Linked DNA regions of Oryctolagus cuniculus. The protein of the gene in region 2 binds, or shares a complex with, the protein of the main gene of each other region. Links are inferred from orthologs where the notes say so. Each region holds a gene or a part of one and is shown on either strand. Other genes may lie near its edges.

Region 1 (7,179 bases), about 3.5 Mb from region 2:
CTCGGATGACCACGCTCAGCCTACTTGCTATGGCCATCAACCACCAAACATCTATTTCATCACTTCACTACTTCTTTATTTTTGAAAAAAAAAATTTTTTTAAAGAGAACATATTTATCGACATGAATGACCTTACATTATGTTTCTAACCTTGATCTTAAGCTGATGACAAGAAAATGCAAGTCTTCGGCTAAGTCATTGTTCACCCCAGCAGATCGAATACCTCATGGCTCTGCACGATGCTGTTGCATGAGTTCAGTTTGTCCACAGTTCCTCCATCTTTTTTTTTTTGACAGGCAGAGTGGACAGGGTGAGAAAGAGACAGAGAGAAAGGTCTTCCTTTGCCGTTGGTTCACCCTCCAGCGGCCGCCGCACTGCACTGATCCGATGGCAGGAGTCAGGTGCTTCTCCTGGTCTCCCATGGGGTGCAGGGCCCAAGCACTTGGGACATCCTCCACTGCACTCCTGGGCCACAGCAGAGAGCTGGCCTGGAAGAGGGGCAACCGGGACAGAATCCGGCGCCCTGACCGGGACTAGAACCCAGTATGCCGGCGCCGCAAGGCGGAGGATTAGCCTAGTGACCCGCGTCGCCGGCCCTCTTTTTTTTTTTTTTTTTTTTTTTTTAACCTGGATTATCAGGACAGTTTCCAGACTACTTTTCCTGTACCCAGTCCAATATTCCCTACTCCATCTGACTTAGGAGATCCAGGGAACCTATAAATCTGATCTTCTCCTGATGAAAACTCAGCAATAGTTGCCCCTCAATACGTGGAAGGTGTGAAATAAATTCAGGTTCCTTGGCAAGAGATACACTGCCCTCCTGGGAAAGATCCCCAGGGTGTATCCTGATCTGCACGCATCCCCCTGCTCATACTCTGCTCACTTCGCGGCTTCCTGAATTTGCTAAGGAGGGTCCCTCTACTGGTCCTTCCTCTCTTGCTTGCTTTATTAACTCTCAGTCACTCTTCAAGATGGTGCTCATCGCCCCAGCGAGAAGGCTGCGTTTGGCACCGGGGCACCTGCCATCTGCTCTCAGGGCCCTCCGTGTCCATCTTTACCAAGGGACATCGCCATGCCCCGTGGAAGCCATGTGCTATGTCTTCCCAACCCTTTAGCACTTACAAGGGGCCTGGCGGAGAGTAGGCACCGAACACATGTTGAACAGAATCTTTCAGAAGAGGGTGGCAGCTGAGAGGCAGGGAGAAAGTGCGGAGGAAGAGGGAGAGACTGGAGGGAGTTCCCCCAAGGGAGTTTGGCACCACCTGGCCTTGATCATTGCCCCAGGAGCTCCCCCCTCAGGCTCAGACTCTGCCTTGTTCCAGCTCTGACCCTGAAGAAGCACCCAGGAGGGCTACACCGGAAGTCTCACGGAAAATCCCATACTGCCCGCTTGTCCTCTGACAAGTCTGCTTGTCCCTTGCCTTCAACCAAAGCACTTAGAATTTGGGCCGCGCCCGGGGCTTTTGTTCTCATTTCACCCCCACCTCCTCCAAGGACGCACAGGAAAGAGGCTTGTGACTCCCCCTCGTGGGGATGGCCTCATAGCTTGAAAGTTAGACTCAGGCTTCCTTCACACAACGTCGTTGCTCCCACACCGGCCCAGGAATAACACCCCTCCCCCGCGCGCCTATCCCCTCCAACCTCACCAGCCACACGCAGGAACTTTTCCAACTCAGCTTCAACGCTCTGAACCACAGTCTGGGGACACTGGGAGTGCCACCCACGGCCGGAGCTCCCTCAAGTCCACGACCTTGTAGGTGGTGGGGTGGGGAGGAGGGCTCCGCTCCTGGCAAAGCCACTTGACCCCTGGCCTCAGTTTAAGAACCTGTAGCAATGGGTCTGACCTCTTTCCTCGGCTGCTAGAGTCACCGCTAGGGAGAGGTAACGGCTTGCGCAAAGCCTAACTCCCGTTCTGGAAGCGCGCAGGCAGCGGGGGGGCTCGCGTGGGAACCGCCGCGAGGGCTGCAAGGGGCAACAGGCAACCGCTGGGGAAGTGCGGCCGGGCCGGACGCTCCCGCCCCGCTGCGCGGCCCCTCTTCACCGGCTCGCCGTGGAGGAACTGGTGGCTTCGGTGACGCGCAGACTCAAGTGCTGCTGCTAGGCAGGGGGAGAAATAAAAAGGAGCCCCCCCCCCTTCCCCGGCCCCTAGCATCACCCCGCCCCAGCTCCCCAGGCGCCTAGGCGTGGAAACGTGGGCGGCGGCGAGCGGCCGTCCCCCTCCGCGCGCGGCGCTCCCTGTGCGCCGTGTGTGAGTGCGTGTGTCTCCCTCGCTCCTCTCGCACACGCTCCGGCACTAGTGCAGGCGCAGAGCCCGCGGCTCTCGGTTCGCTGGCTCACTCGCTCGCTCGCTCGCTCAGTCGCTGCGCTCCTGCCTCGCCGCCGCCGCCGCCACTGCAGTCGCAACCGGGCATGGTGAGTGAGTGAGGTTCGGCCGCCGCACGCGGACCCCAAGCTCCCCGCCCGACCCCACCAGCCTTAGCCGGCGCCGTCCCGGCCAGCCAGCCAGCCTGCGGCGGGAGCGCGCGGCGGGCCCCGGCGGCCCGTGCGCTCTTGGTCCCCGGCGCGCAGGGCCGCCCGACTCCGTCTTGGGAGCGAGCTCATTGCCCCTCCCGGTCCAGAGCTTGGCTCCTCGAGGGCTGCGCGCTCCCTCCTCGCCCGTCCGCTGCTCCGCTCCTGCCCGTCGCCCCACCCCGTGACCAGCTCCCTGTCTTGTCCCGCAGGACCCGCCCGGACGGGACCACGTCGCCACCGCCGCCGCCGCCGCCCGGAGCCGCGCTTCGGGTCCTGCCTGAGCCGAGTCGCGCGCGGGGCCGCCGCCGCCGCCGGCGGGGGATGGGGCTGCCCGGCAGGCGCGCCGATCCCGCAGGGGGAGCGCGGAGCCGGCGCGCAGCCTGAGAGCCCTCCCGGAGCAGCCCGCGCCGGGCCGGTCCGTGCGCACCGCGCGCCGCCACTGCCGCCGCCGCCGCCGCCACCGCTCGCGCCTCGATGGCGCCATCGCCCCGGTGCCGCTGAGCGCCCCGCGCAGCCAGCCCGGCCCGTGCGGCCGCCCTCGGAGCCCGGCCCGCCGGGGGAGCGGGCCTGCCGCGGAAGCTTCCCCGCGCCCTCCCGCCCGGCCCCGCCATGGCGCTGCGGCGCCTCCTGCTGCTGCTTCTGCTGCTGCTCTCGCTGGAGTCCCTGGACCTGCTGCCCGGCGCCCACGCCGCCCGCGGCCGCGCCGCCAACCGGACCCTAAGCGCCGGCGCCGCTGCCGTCGGGGGCCGGCGGCCGGGGGGCGCCCTGGCCCGGGGCGGCCGCGAGCTGAATGGCACCGCCCGGGGGGCATCCGGCGGCCCGGAAGCGGGCAGCCGGCGAGGGCAGCCCGCGGCGGCGGTGGCGGCAGCCAGCGCGACCGTCACCTACGAGACGTGCTGGGGCTACTACGACGTGAGCGGCCAGTACGACAAGGAGTTCGAGTGCAACAACAGCGAAAGCGGCTACCTGTACTGCTGCGGCACCTGCTACTACCGCTTCTGCTGCAAGAAGCGCCACGAGAAGCTGGACCAACGCCAGTGCACCAACTACCAGAGCCCGGTGTGGGTGCAGACGCCCAGCACCAAGGTGGTGTCGCCGGGGCCCGAGAACAAGTACGACCCGGAGAAGGACAAGACCAACTTCACCGTCTACATCACGTGCGGGGTGATCGCCTTCGTCGTCGTGGCGGGGGTCTTCGCCAAGATATCCTACGACAAGGCCCACCGCCCTCCGCGGGAGATGAACATCCACAGGTGAGCGCCAGGGCGCGATGCCCCCAGCCCGGGACACCCCCTCCCCCCACCAAGCCCCCAGCTCCCGTGGCCTCTCCCCTCTTAACGTGCCCTCTGGCTTCCACCATCACTTCTTTCACATGCCCTGGGATCTCCGTTGCTGCACAGCCTGGGGGCGGAGGGGGTGGGTACGCTTTGGTGGTAGGGGGCTCGCGCAGCAGAGTCAAGAATTGGTGGAGGCCACTGGGAGTTCAAGTGCCACGGTTTTTACGAAGCCCATCATCGTGCCCAGAGATCCAGGGTTCCCTTATCCAGCCATGTGGGCACTTTGGTTGTGTGGGCTTGATGGCATTTAGCTTTTTTGAGACAAACCCGAGTGTCATCTTCAGTATAGAAAGGAGTCCAGTGTTGGAACCGTACTCAAAAGAGCACCGAGTAGCTTCGAGTAAACTGGGGTGTTCCCTGCGGGGCGGGATGGGGGTGACACGCGGAAGCACAGATGGTGTCTCTTGGAGTGGGATGCTTGTCTTTCCTGCAGAGACCGGACTTGTTCCGTTCAGTTCTGGAGGCAGAACTCGCCGAGGTAACCCGTTCTCGCCGAGTTCTGCCTGGTGGGCATCCCTCACTGCTCCCTCTGGGGACACGGTGGAGGCAGCCTCCTACCAAAACTTAGGCGAGAGAGCTCAGCTGGGGCAGCCTGTGGTTCCCCTCTGAGCGCCGCCCACCCCACTGGGCTGACCCCCAGTGCGACCTGTGGGAAGTGAAAGCCAAGAGAAGTACAGAAAACCCAGCCACTCCTTAGAAGTCTGGGAAAGACACACCCCAGGTTAGCTGCCTTCATGGCGGGGAGGGGCTGGATGTGGCTCAACGGGGTCCTTTCGGGGAGCAAACCTGGCCCCAGGAATTGCCTGCATTTTTGTTGCAGGGTTATGGGCACTGCCCTGATAACCATGGCTGCCCCCGCCCTAAAACCGTTGCTTCTGGGTTGTTCCTGCAATGCCCCACCCTGAGCCGGCATCCCCCTACACTCATCTCCACACCTGCTGTTCTCCTTACGTCCGGAATGGCTCCGTCTCTTGCTGTGTGGACATTAATCACGCTCACCCCCGGCTTGCCAAAGGGAGAGAGAAAGGCAGATAGAAATTTCTAGGCATGCCGAAAGAGCTGGTTTTTTTTTTCCCCTAGTTTGGTACTGTGGGTGTTGAGAAAAGGTGATACTCCCTAGCAGGTCCACACTGTGTGGGTGCTTTGAACTCAGACCTAGAACTGGGCTGACTCCACAAGGAGACCCGCTGATAATCTGTCCCCATCCGAGGGTGCCACCACCTTCCCTCCCACTGTTGCCTTAGCTCTCTGGTGGTACATTTTGACTCGGCATCCGCCTGGAGCCTGTGCTGGCCCTGGCACCGATGGGGCGGTGGATTTTGAGAAATGATCTGGGGTGCAGATTACAGGACAGGTGGGACGAAGTCAAGGCAAAACCCTTTCTCCTTTGAGTCTCGTCTGGCAAAGAGATCTATGTCTTGGTTAAGCTTGGAGAGCAGAGAAGGCATTGCCTGTGAGCCGTGTCCCTTCCTAAGCAGATGGTCCTTATCATCCGTCCACCTCTCGCTTAGGACTTGGAGGAGGCTTGTCTCCCAGCCCCTTCTCCCGTGTCCCTGGCCTCTCATCATAGCCTCTGCTCTCTGCCGCCGGCCTCTTGCTGGTTGATTCCCACACACCCACCTTTCTTTCTGTGGGTTTCTGTTTTCCCTGAGCCATTGTTTTCTGCACTCTTAGAGGAACTTGCTCGCTGTCCTGCTCCCTGGCCCCTCCTGCAGAGTCTGTGCACAGAGAAGGTGGTATCCTGGGATGCTGGGAGCAGGTGTCTTTGGCTGCTGCTGGCATTGGCACATGACCCCAGCGAGGTCACTGTGTCTCCTGGTATTTCCTCCGCTCCCCACTACACAGACACCCCTTATCCCAAACCAGGGTAACTATCGTGACATCACTGCAGCGCTTTCTCTCTGGGGCTGGAGAAGAGTGGTGACCGTGGGGAGGGGACTGAACCTCAGGCCTCAGACCATTATGTAAATGAGGGATGTTTCTCCCTCAAGTTCACCTCCTGCTTTTATTCCACTCACAGCACCTCTTCCAGCAGCTGCAGCCTCGCCTGATCCATGCTTGGGGGAGATTGTCCTATTGACGGTGTTGGGTGGGGACAATGTCTGTGTGTGTGTGTGTGTGTGTGTGTGTGGTGGGGGAGGGTGTGGAGAGGCAGGGGGACAGAGCCTGAGAGGTCCAGCTAGACTGCTTAGAGTGACCTTGTGCAGGTCAGGGGAACTCGCTTTTCAGTTCTGGGTAACCCAGGTACAGAGATCCCACAAGGATCTCTCCCTTCCAGAGCGTGTCAGGGCAGGTGAGCCCACTGCCCTCTCCCTGGCAGGGGTGGGAGGCTCCTGTTACTCTGCCCACGACTCAAAGCTCCCTGCTCACCGTTCATTCCAGGAATTGGGCTTGTGCAGGCTGACTTGTTGGGGAATCAGGGTAGGGATGAGGAGGGAGCGAGGAAGACAGAGAGAAACAGTCACACCCATGGTGAGTTTTCCCCGGGGAAAGTGCAGAGAAGAAATGGGGTCAGGAGGCTTCCAGACAGTTCAGCAAAGTCCCGAGATCCTGCCTCAGAAGGAAAAAGAGGTGCTTATTCGTCCCTGAAGACGGCTGGGCAGGCAGGGCCGAGGTTGCGCAAGTCTCAATGACCTCTTTGGAAAGAAGAGTTTGTGGGCACGAAGGAAGGGGCCGTAGGCCGGGATTGTCGGCTGTGTGCCCCCGCCTGGGTGTTCCCTGGCTGGCCTGGAGAGCCCTCTCTCCGCCCAGGCACAGGTGTTCCTTAGGGCAAGCCTGCCTTTCATCTCGGCACCCCCTGCAGGGAAGAACAGATTCTCATCTTTTCCAGAAGTGGTTAGACCTTGCTGTCCTGTTCCCGAGTGAGAAGTCCACAAGCTCTCTGCTGCACCAAGTCACACTCAGTTAGCCTGCCCCTGACCCCGGGGGAGGGGGAGGAGGTGGGCACAGGGACCGGAGACAGAGCCTTGTCCTGGGTGTGGGAAGCCAGCAGGCAGCTTGTCCCCAGCAGTATCTCTGTCCTGACTCCCCGGTCACTGAAACAGCCCCGGGCTGTGGCTGGAGCTGATGGCCCATAGGCATCCCCCGACTTTCATATTTGCAGAGTGGCCTCTGCCAGGCATCCCCAGGGCTCTCTGCTCAGTGAGAGGTTCCTGATGTCCTCCAAGGCCCGGGCTTCGGACGGAGGCCGACTCCTTCTGCCATTGAGCTCCATGCCAGCTGTCTCACATCCAGACCTGTTCCTTCCTCCTCACCCTGAGTTGATTCATTAGCGTCGTCGAGATGAGGGTGATGCTGAGGGAGGAACCTCATGGCTTCTTTTTTTTTTTTA
Region 2 (7,079 bases):
AGAGAAAAGGGACAGAGAACTCACCTGCTGGTTCACTCCCCAGTGGTCACAGCAGCCAGGGCTGGCTCAGACAGTAACAGGAGCCAGGGCTGGCTGAGGCAGTGACAGGAGCCTAGAGCTCCATCCGGGTCTCCCACATGGGTCTCAGGGGCCCAAGGACTTGTGCCATCCTCTGCTACTTTCCCTGGTGCATTAGCAGGGAGCTGGACTGGAAGAAGAGCAGCCAAGGCTTAAACTGGCACTCCAGTATGGGATGCTGGCTTCACACGGTGGCTTAACCTGCTGCTCCCCAACACTGACCCAGAACCCGCTAATAGCTCTGTGTTGTGGGGAGTTGTCCCGTGCATTGTAGGAAATTCAGCAGCAGCCCTGGCCTCTGTCAGTGACAGTGGTGTCCCCACCCTCTCCTCTCACAACACACACACACACACACACACACACACACACACACAGAGCAGAATCGCTCTGTTGAAAATCCCTACTTTAGAGAATGCACATAGCATAGCAAGATAAGGAAAATACAAGGAGCGCATGGAAGAGAGAAACAGCTGTCCTTACTTGTAAAGTGTACTTTCTCCATCTAGATTAAAATACAAGTCATTAACTGATGGACAAAAACATGGAAAGGTGAGCGTGTGGCCCCGAGCAGAAGAGCTGTTGTGGCTCAGCAGGTTAAGCTGTTGCTGGGATCCCTGTATCCCCTCCTGGGGTGGGCCCTGCATCCCCTGCCTCATTCGCTTCTGATCCTGCTTCCTGCTGATGTGCCTGGGAAGGCAGTGGGTAATGGCCCAAGTACCCGGGGAGACTCTTTAGCTTTCTGGCTTTGGCCTGGCCCAGCCCCTGTTATTGTGAGCTTTTGGGAAGTGAGCCCGCAGAGAGCAGATACTTGTCTCTCTCTCTCTCTCTGTCACTCTGCCTTTCAAATAAGTAAATAAATCTTAAATAAAAAAAGAATGTGGCCATATGTAAGTCAATAACCAGAATTGAGCTGGCGGGTCAAGCCACCGTCTGCAGTGCCAGCTGCTCCACTTCTGATCCAGCTCCCTGCTAATGTGCCAGGGAAGGCAGTGGAGGAGGGGCCCCTTCATCCCACGTGGGAGACCCGGATGGGGCTCCTGGCTCCTGGCTTCGGCCTGGCCCAACCCTGACTATTGCAGCCATTTGAGGAATGAACCAAGATGGAAGATCTTTCTCTCTCTGCCTCTGCCTCTCCTTCTAACTCTGCCTTTCAAATACATAAATCAATCTTTAAAAAACAAAACAAAAAACAAGAATCAGTAACTTCCCAGCCATGAAAAGATGATGTGATGGGTAAGAAGATCTCATTTGCTATAGAAAACAATTCTACAAAATTCTTATAAATACAGACTTGACAAGAAATATAAGATTTCTATGAAAAAAAAATGACGAAACTTTACTGAGGCATATAAAACAATGTTTCTGGATGGAATGACTTAATATGCTACAGCTCTCAAACCTCTCCAGATTAATCTATATATTTTATGCAAATCCAAATCAGGATTTAAATGTTGTTTTTCCCCCTGAGAATTTAGCAGGTTGATTTTAAAGTTCAACTGGAAAAATATGTGTGGGAGAATAACGAAGACATTTTTGGAAAGGAGTAATGAAGTACGCCTGCCCCTACTGAATATGAAATCAGACTGTGCAATCATATTTAAGTCACATGGCAGCTCTTCTTTTTTTTCTTTTGGATTTTATTTATTTTCATTTTCACTTGAGAGAGAGAGAGAGAGAGAGAGAGAGAGCGATCTTCCATCCACCAGCCCGCACAGGACTGGAATGCAGTCCGTCTCCCGCGTGGGTGGCAGGGACACAGGTGCCTGGGTCATCACCTGTTGCCCCTCCGGATGCACATTCAGCAGGAAGCTGGATCGAAGTGGGACACCCAGAACCTGAACCAGGCACGCTGAGATAGGATGTGGGTGCCCCAAGTAACAGCTTAACTGCGTGCCAAACACCTGCCCTGGGTGGGCCCTGTTTCTAAATACCAAAACCTCCCTGAAGAAGCCTGGCCTTCTTGGGGAAAGGGGAGCCAGTTTAAAATCCTGGGCAAGGGCCGGCGCCGCGGCTCACTAGGCTAATCCTCCGCCTAGCGGCGCCGGCACACCGGGTTCTAGTCCCGGTCGGGCACCAGATTCTGTCCCGGTTGCCCCTCTTCCAGGCCAGCTCTCTGCTGTGGCCAGGGAGTGCAGTGGAGGATGGCCCAGGTGCTTGGGCCCTGCACCCCATGGGAGACCAGGAAAAGCACCTGGCTCCTGGCTCCTGCCATCGGATCAGCGCGGTGTGCCGGCCGCAGCGCGCCAGCCGCGGCGGCCATTGGAGGGTGAACCAACGGCAAAGGAAGACCTTTCTGTCTGTCTCTCTCTCACACTATCCACTCTGCCTGTCAAAAAAAAAAAAAAAAAAAAAAAAAAAAAATCCTGGGCAAGGCTGGCGCTGTGGCTCACTAGGCTAATCCTCCTCCTGTGGTGCTGGCACTCCAGGTTCTAGTCCCGGTTAGGGCGCCGGGTTCTAGTCCCGGTTGCTCCTTTTCCAGTCCAGCTCTCTGCTGTGGCCCGGGAAGGCAGTGGAGGATGGCCCTGGTGCTTGGGCCCTGCACCTGCATGGGAGACCAGGAGAAGCACCTGGCTCCTGGCTTCAGATCGGCGCAGCGCACCGGCCGTGGTGACCATTTGGGGAGTGTGGGGTGAACCAACAGAAGGAAGACCTTTCTCTCTGTCTCTCTCTCTCACTGTCTAACTCTGCCTATCAAAAAAAAAAAAAAAAAAAAAAAAAAAAAAAAAAAAAAAAGTCCTGGGCAAGAAATATCTAAGATTCACTTGACCTCCATTCTAGAAAGCAAAGGTGGTATCCAGGACTACTAGAGCATGTCAAAGACACAGGAGCCCAACTTAAGGGATTCTTCCTGGCTGTTGAATCAGAACTCCTTGAGTTAAAATTTATGGGGTCGCAATAGTGATTTAAAATATTGGGGTACCTTTGGAGGCTATAAAGGGACCCATTCATTCTGAAAATAAAGAGGGACTGTCAGACCTTTGTCTTCCCATCTCAGAGTGGTCTACGTAAGTCAGTTCTTTATAGAATTCCTGCTAACAAATGCTTCCTTGTTCCCCCACCCAAAGTAGAGTATCACCATTTTGCAAACCCTGATGAATATCTAAACCAGGCAGTGATCATCAACAGCCTTGAAAATTTAAGTGAAAGACTGGCAGGCATTTGATAGTGCATAGACCAGGTTGTCAGCCACCAACCCTGCTCGTCACTCCAACAGAGATGCAGTAGTGGTGGGGCCGTAGGGAGCGCTCAGCGCTGCCTGTGACGGATGCTGTATTTAGAAATTGAACTGGAACCTGGTTGCACCCCCAGAACCAACTGCCAGCTTACAGGAGGTGGAGGGCAGAGATGCAGGATGAAGCAGACCTTGAGGATGCAGGCAGAGGTTTCTCTGTTGGATTCCCCTGGTAGGATGTTGGACGTTCTTGCAGACAGATAGCTTGTTCAATCAGTGGTCAAGAGGGAGAGGAATTCTGTGGCTGAAGGGATGTGAGAGAGACAGCAACCAGAAGAAAACCCCCAAAGCATGGATTCCCATTAGCCTGTAGCTTCATCCCTGGCCTGCTGTGGACAAAAAGCCTTTAAATCCCTTGTTTCCCACAACCACCCCGACACCACCTGTAAGTTGCTGACCCCTGGCAGGGCCGTGTCTGACGTCCCCACGGGGGTATCCCTGGCAGGGCAGCTTCCCTTTCACCTGAGTCTGGCTCTCTGGGTTCCTGCCCAGGGGGGAAGGTGGGGCAGTGGGTGCCGTGTCCCTTCCATCCACTTCCACCTTGTCTTTCCTCCCGTGTCCGCCCTCAGCGTACTCCCAGCACCTGGACAACGAGATTAGTCACAGCAGCTACCTGGGCACCGACTACCCCACAGCCATGACCCCCACTTCCCCTCGGCGCTACTCGCCTGTGGCCAAGGACCTGCTGGGGGAGGAGGACATTCCCCGGGAGCCGAGGCGAATCGTGATCCACCGGGGCTCCACCGGCCTGGGCTTCAACATTGTGGGCGGCGAGGACGGTGAAGGCATCTTCATCTCCTTCATCCTGGCCGGGGGCCCTGCGGACCTCAGTGGGGAGCTGCGGAAGGGGGACCAGATCCTGTCGGTGAGGGGAAGCCTGCCCCGCCCCTCACCGAGCTCCTTGGGGCGGGGTGTGTGTGTGTGTGTGTGTGTGTATGTGGCTGGGCTGATCCCTACTCCATGTGGACCTGGGAAGTGCCCCCGCCCTGTCCCCAGCCACACAGCCTCTGCTCCTGCCTGCAGGTCAACGGGGTGGACCTCCGTAACGCCAGCCACGAGCAGGCCGCCATTGCCCTGAAGAATGCGGGCCAGACAGTCACGATCATCGCTCAGTATAAACCAGAAGGTACCCGGCGCGGGGCTCCCCGCCGAGGGCATCCTCAGAACTCTCCCCTGGGCTGATGGCTGTCTGGGGGCGAGGGGAGTGGCCGCAGGAGGAGGGCAGAGCTCTGGAACTGTCTGGTCCTCCCTCAGAGTACAGCCGCTTCGAGGCCAAGATCCATGACCTTCGAGAGCAGCTCATGAACAGCAGCCTGGGCTCAGGGACGGCCTCCCTGCGGAGCAACCCCAAGAGGGGGTTCTACATCAGGTCAGAGGCTCGCTGGGCCGGGCTCCGCAGGCTCCCAGGGCCGGATTCCTTTGCTCTGTGCCTGTTCCCTGTTCCCCAGCCACTCTCCCTTAGCCCTGCCTTGTTCCCCTTTCCCAACCCCGGGGCGGGCGCCCAACGTGGTGATCAAGGAGGGCTTGGCTACAGAGGTTTACATTGTCACTCCAGAAGGCAGAGTTACAGAGAGAGAGGGAGAGAGAGAGAGCCATCTTCCATCCACTGGTTCACGCCCCAAATGGCCACAACAGCCAGGGCTGGGCCGGGCTGAAGCCAGGAGCCAGGAACTTCACCTGGGTCTCCCACATGGGTATCGGAACCCAAGCACTTGGGCCATCTTTCACTGCTTTCCCAGGTCCATTAGCAAGGACCTGGATCAGGAGAGGAGCAGCCGGGACTGGAACCGGCATCCATATGGGATGCCTGGGCTGCAGACAGTGGCTTAACCTACTAGGCCACAGCACCAGCCCCAGGTTTACATTGTGAAACACAGTTGACCTCTGGGCATCCACGGAGTCAGCCCACTGTGAATCAGGAATACTTGAAAAAACCACGGTGCTGGACTTGTCCAGACTTTCATCCTGTCTTCCTTCCCCAGACGATACAATGTACGCGTGAGGTGTTTACAGTGTATTCAGTATTATAAATGATCTAGAGATGACTTAAAGACCAGAGGAGGATTGCGTAGGTTACATGCAAATAGCATTTTATGTAAGGGACTTGAACATCCAGGGATTCTGTGTCTGCGGGGCCTCCTGGAACTGACACCCTGCAGGTTGCCAGGCAGACTGTGCTCGCAGGGCGGGGAACAGGCTCTGTCTCAGGTCTCTGAGGTGCCTGCTCTCCTTGCCGGGGGACTCCCGGGCTGCCCACCATTTAACACCTCACAGCTTAATGCCTGGCATAGCAGCGCCCCCTGGCACAGCTCGAGTGTTGCCCGAGCCTCCGTCTCGGGAGAGATGGGCCACAGCGCTCTCGGCTGTCTCCTGTCTCCTCGCTGGTGCCTTGCTCTCTCCTAGGGCCCTTCCTGCTGTTGACTCCCCCTTCCCCCATGGACTCTGCAGCCCGGGTGCCCGCCAGCCCCTCTCCTCCTCTCTGATCCTGTCCACTTGCACAGCCTGGGCCGCCCCGAGTCTTGCAGGCGTCTCTCAGAGCTGTCTGCCCTGGCCTGCCCTCTTCCTGGAGGTGCCGACCTGCAGCTCTGGCCATGTGCTTTCTGGGATGTCCCATAGGCAACTCATGCTCAGCATGGCCCACACCGAGCTCGTGGTCTTTCTCCTGGGTAGTGAGGTCTCCGTCTTGCCCAAGCAGTGTTACTCCCTCTTGCTCAGTGGCATCGCCGTCCACCCAGACACCAGGCTGAGTGAGACCTGGGTCCTCTCGGCCCTCCCCTCCCTGCTGGGATCTACCCCAGGGTCTTTCAGTTCTGACTTCCGGTGGGTGCTGAACGATCCTGGGACTCTGTCCTTTCCCGTCTCATTCCGGAACTTTAGTCTGCGTCTTTGCTCTCCCAGGGAGGGTTGCTGTCCCTTCTCTTGTGAAGCCAGGGGTGTAAGGACGGAGTGGGAGGCATTTCCTGCTTTTAGGGTAACCAGTTTGCGTGTAGGGGACCTCTTAGTTCCTATGGATCTCAGCAGATTGTGGTGACTTGGCGACACACCTGTGTGCTTCAGCCTGCTTCCCGGAGAGGTGGAGGTTAGCCCTCACTCCGGAAGTTGTCCGCAGCGTAGACTGAGGACAGTTAACAGTCCTGGTGACACCAGAGCTTTGGGTGCTCACAGTTGCTGGGTTCCCATGGCAGTGCCACCACTGGCCCCTCTCCCAGGACCTATACCCCGGGGCCCAGGGTGGCTGGTGCCTCCTTTCTTGGAGTCCCCCCCCACCCCGCCCCAGGCTCTGACCAGTAGCCACTTGGCCTCCAGGGCCCTGTTTGATTACGACAAGACCAAGGACTGCGGCTTCCTGAGCCAGGCCCTGAGCTTCCGCTTTGGGGACGTGCTGCATGTCATCGACGCCAGCGACGAGGAGTGGTGGCAGGCGCGACGGGTCCACTCTGACAGTGAGACCGACGACATCGGCTTCATCCCCAGCAAACGGCGGTGAGGCTCCTGGGGTCTGCAGCCTTCCTGCCCCGGGCACGGACATCCCCCCTCCACGGTACCCCCTGGAGGGGGGACAGCCAACAGGGAACCGGTTTGCCCTCTGACCTCTTGGGGACTGTGGCTTGTGTGAGTGAGCCTGTGGTGCCCAGGGACCACTGGCTGCTGGGAGGCCAGGTGGTCAGCTGGGCCTTTTCCTACTCCCCATTCCCGCATGTGTTCTGCAGGGTTGAGCGACGAGAGTGGTCAAGGTTAAAGGCCAAGGTAGGTGGAGATGGGTGTGCCT

The links. The genes of interacting proteins can lie anywhere in the genome.
Region 1: DLG4 (region 2) and SHISA6 share a complex: the UniProt entries of both Homo sapiens proteins name them as parts of the postsynaptic hippocampal AMPA-type glutamate receptor (AMPAR) complex. The link is inferred for Oryctolagus cuniculus from reciprocal best matches to the Homo sapiens genes DLG4 and SHISA6.

Annotation. Positions count from the first base shown.
Region 1 is NC_091448.1:55,332,323-55,339,501, forward strand, and holds the start of SHISA6 (protein shisa-6), read left to right. Parts: upstream 1-2,990; 5' UTR 2,991-3,120; coding exon 3,121-3,764; intron 3,765-7,179. UniProt on the Homo sapiens protein: Involved in maintenance of high-frequency synaptic transmission at hippocampal CA3-CA1 synapses.
Region 2 is NC_091448.1:51,806,085-51,813,163, reverse strand, and holds part of DLG4 (disks large homolog 4), read left to right. Parts: intron 1-3,879; coding exon 3,880-4,175; intron 4,176-4,333; coding exon 4,334-4,436; intron 4,437-4,564; coding exon 4,565-4,679; intron 4,680-6,616; coding exon 6,617-6,793; intron 6,794-7,020; coding exon 7,021-7,057; intron 7,058-7,079. UniProt on the Homo sapiens protein: Postsynaptic scaffolding protein that plays a critical role in synaptogenesis and synaptic plasticity by providing a platform for the postsynaptic clustering of crucial synaptic proteins.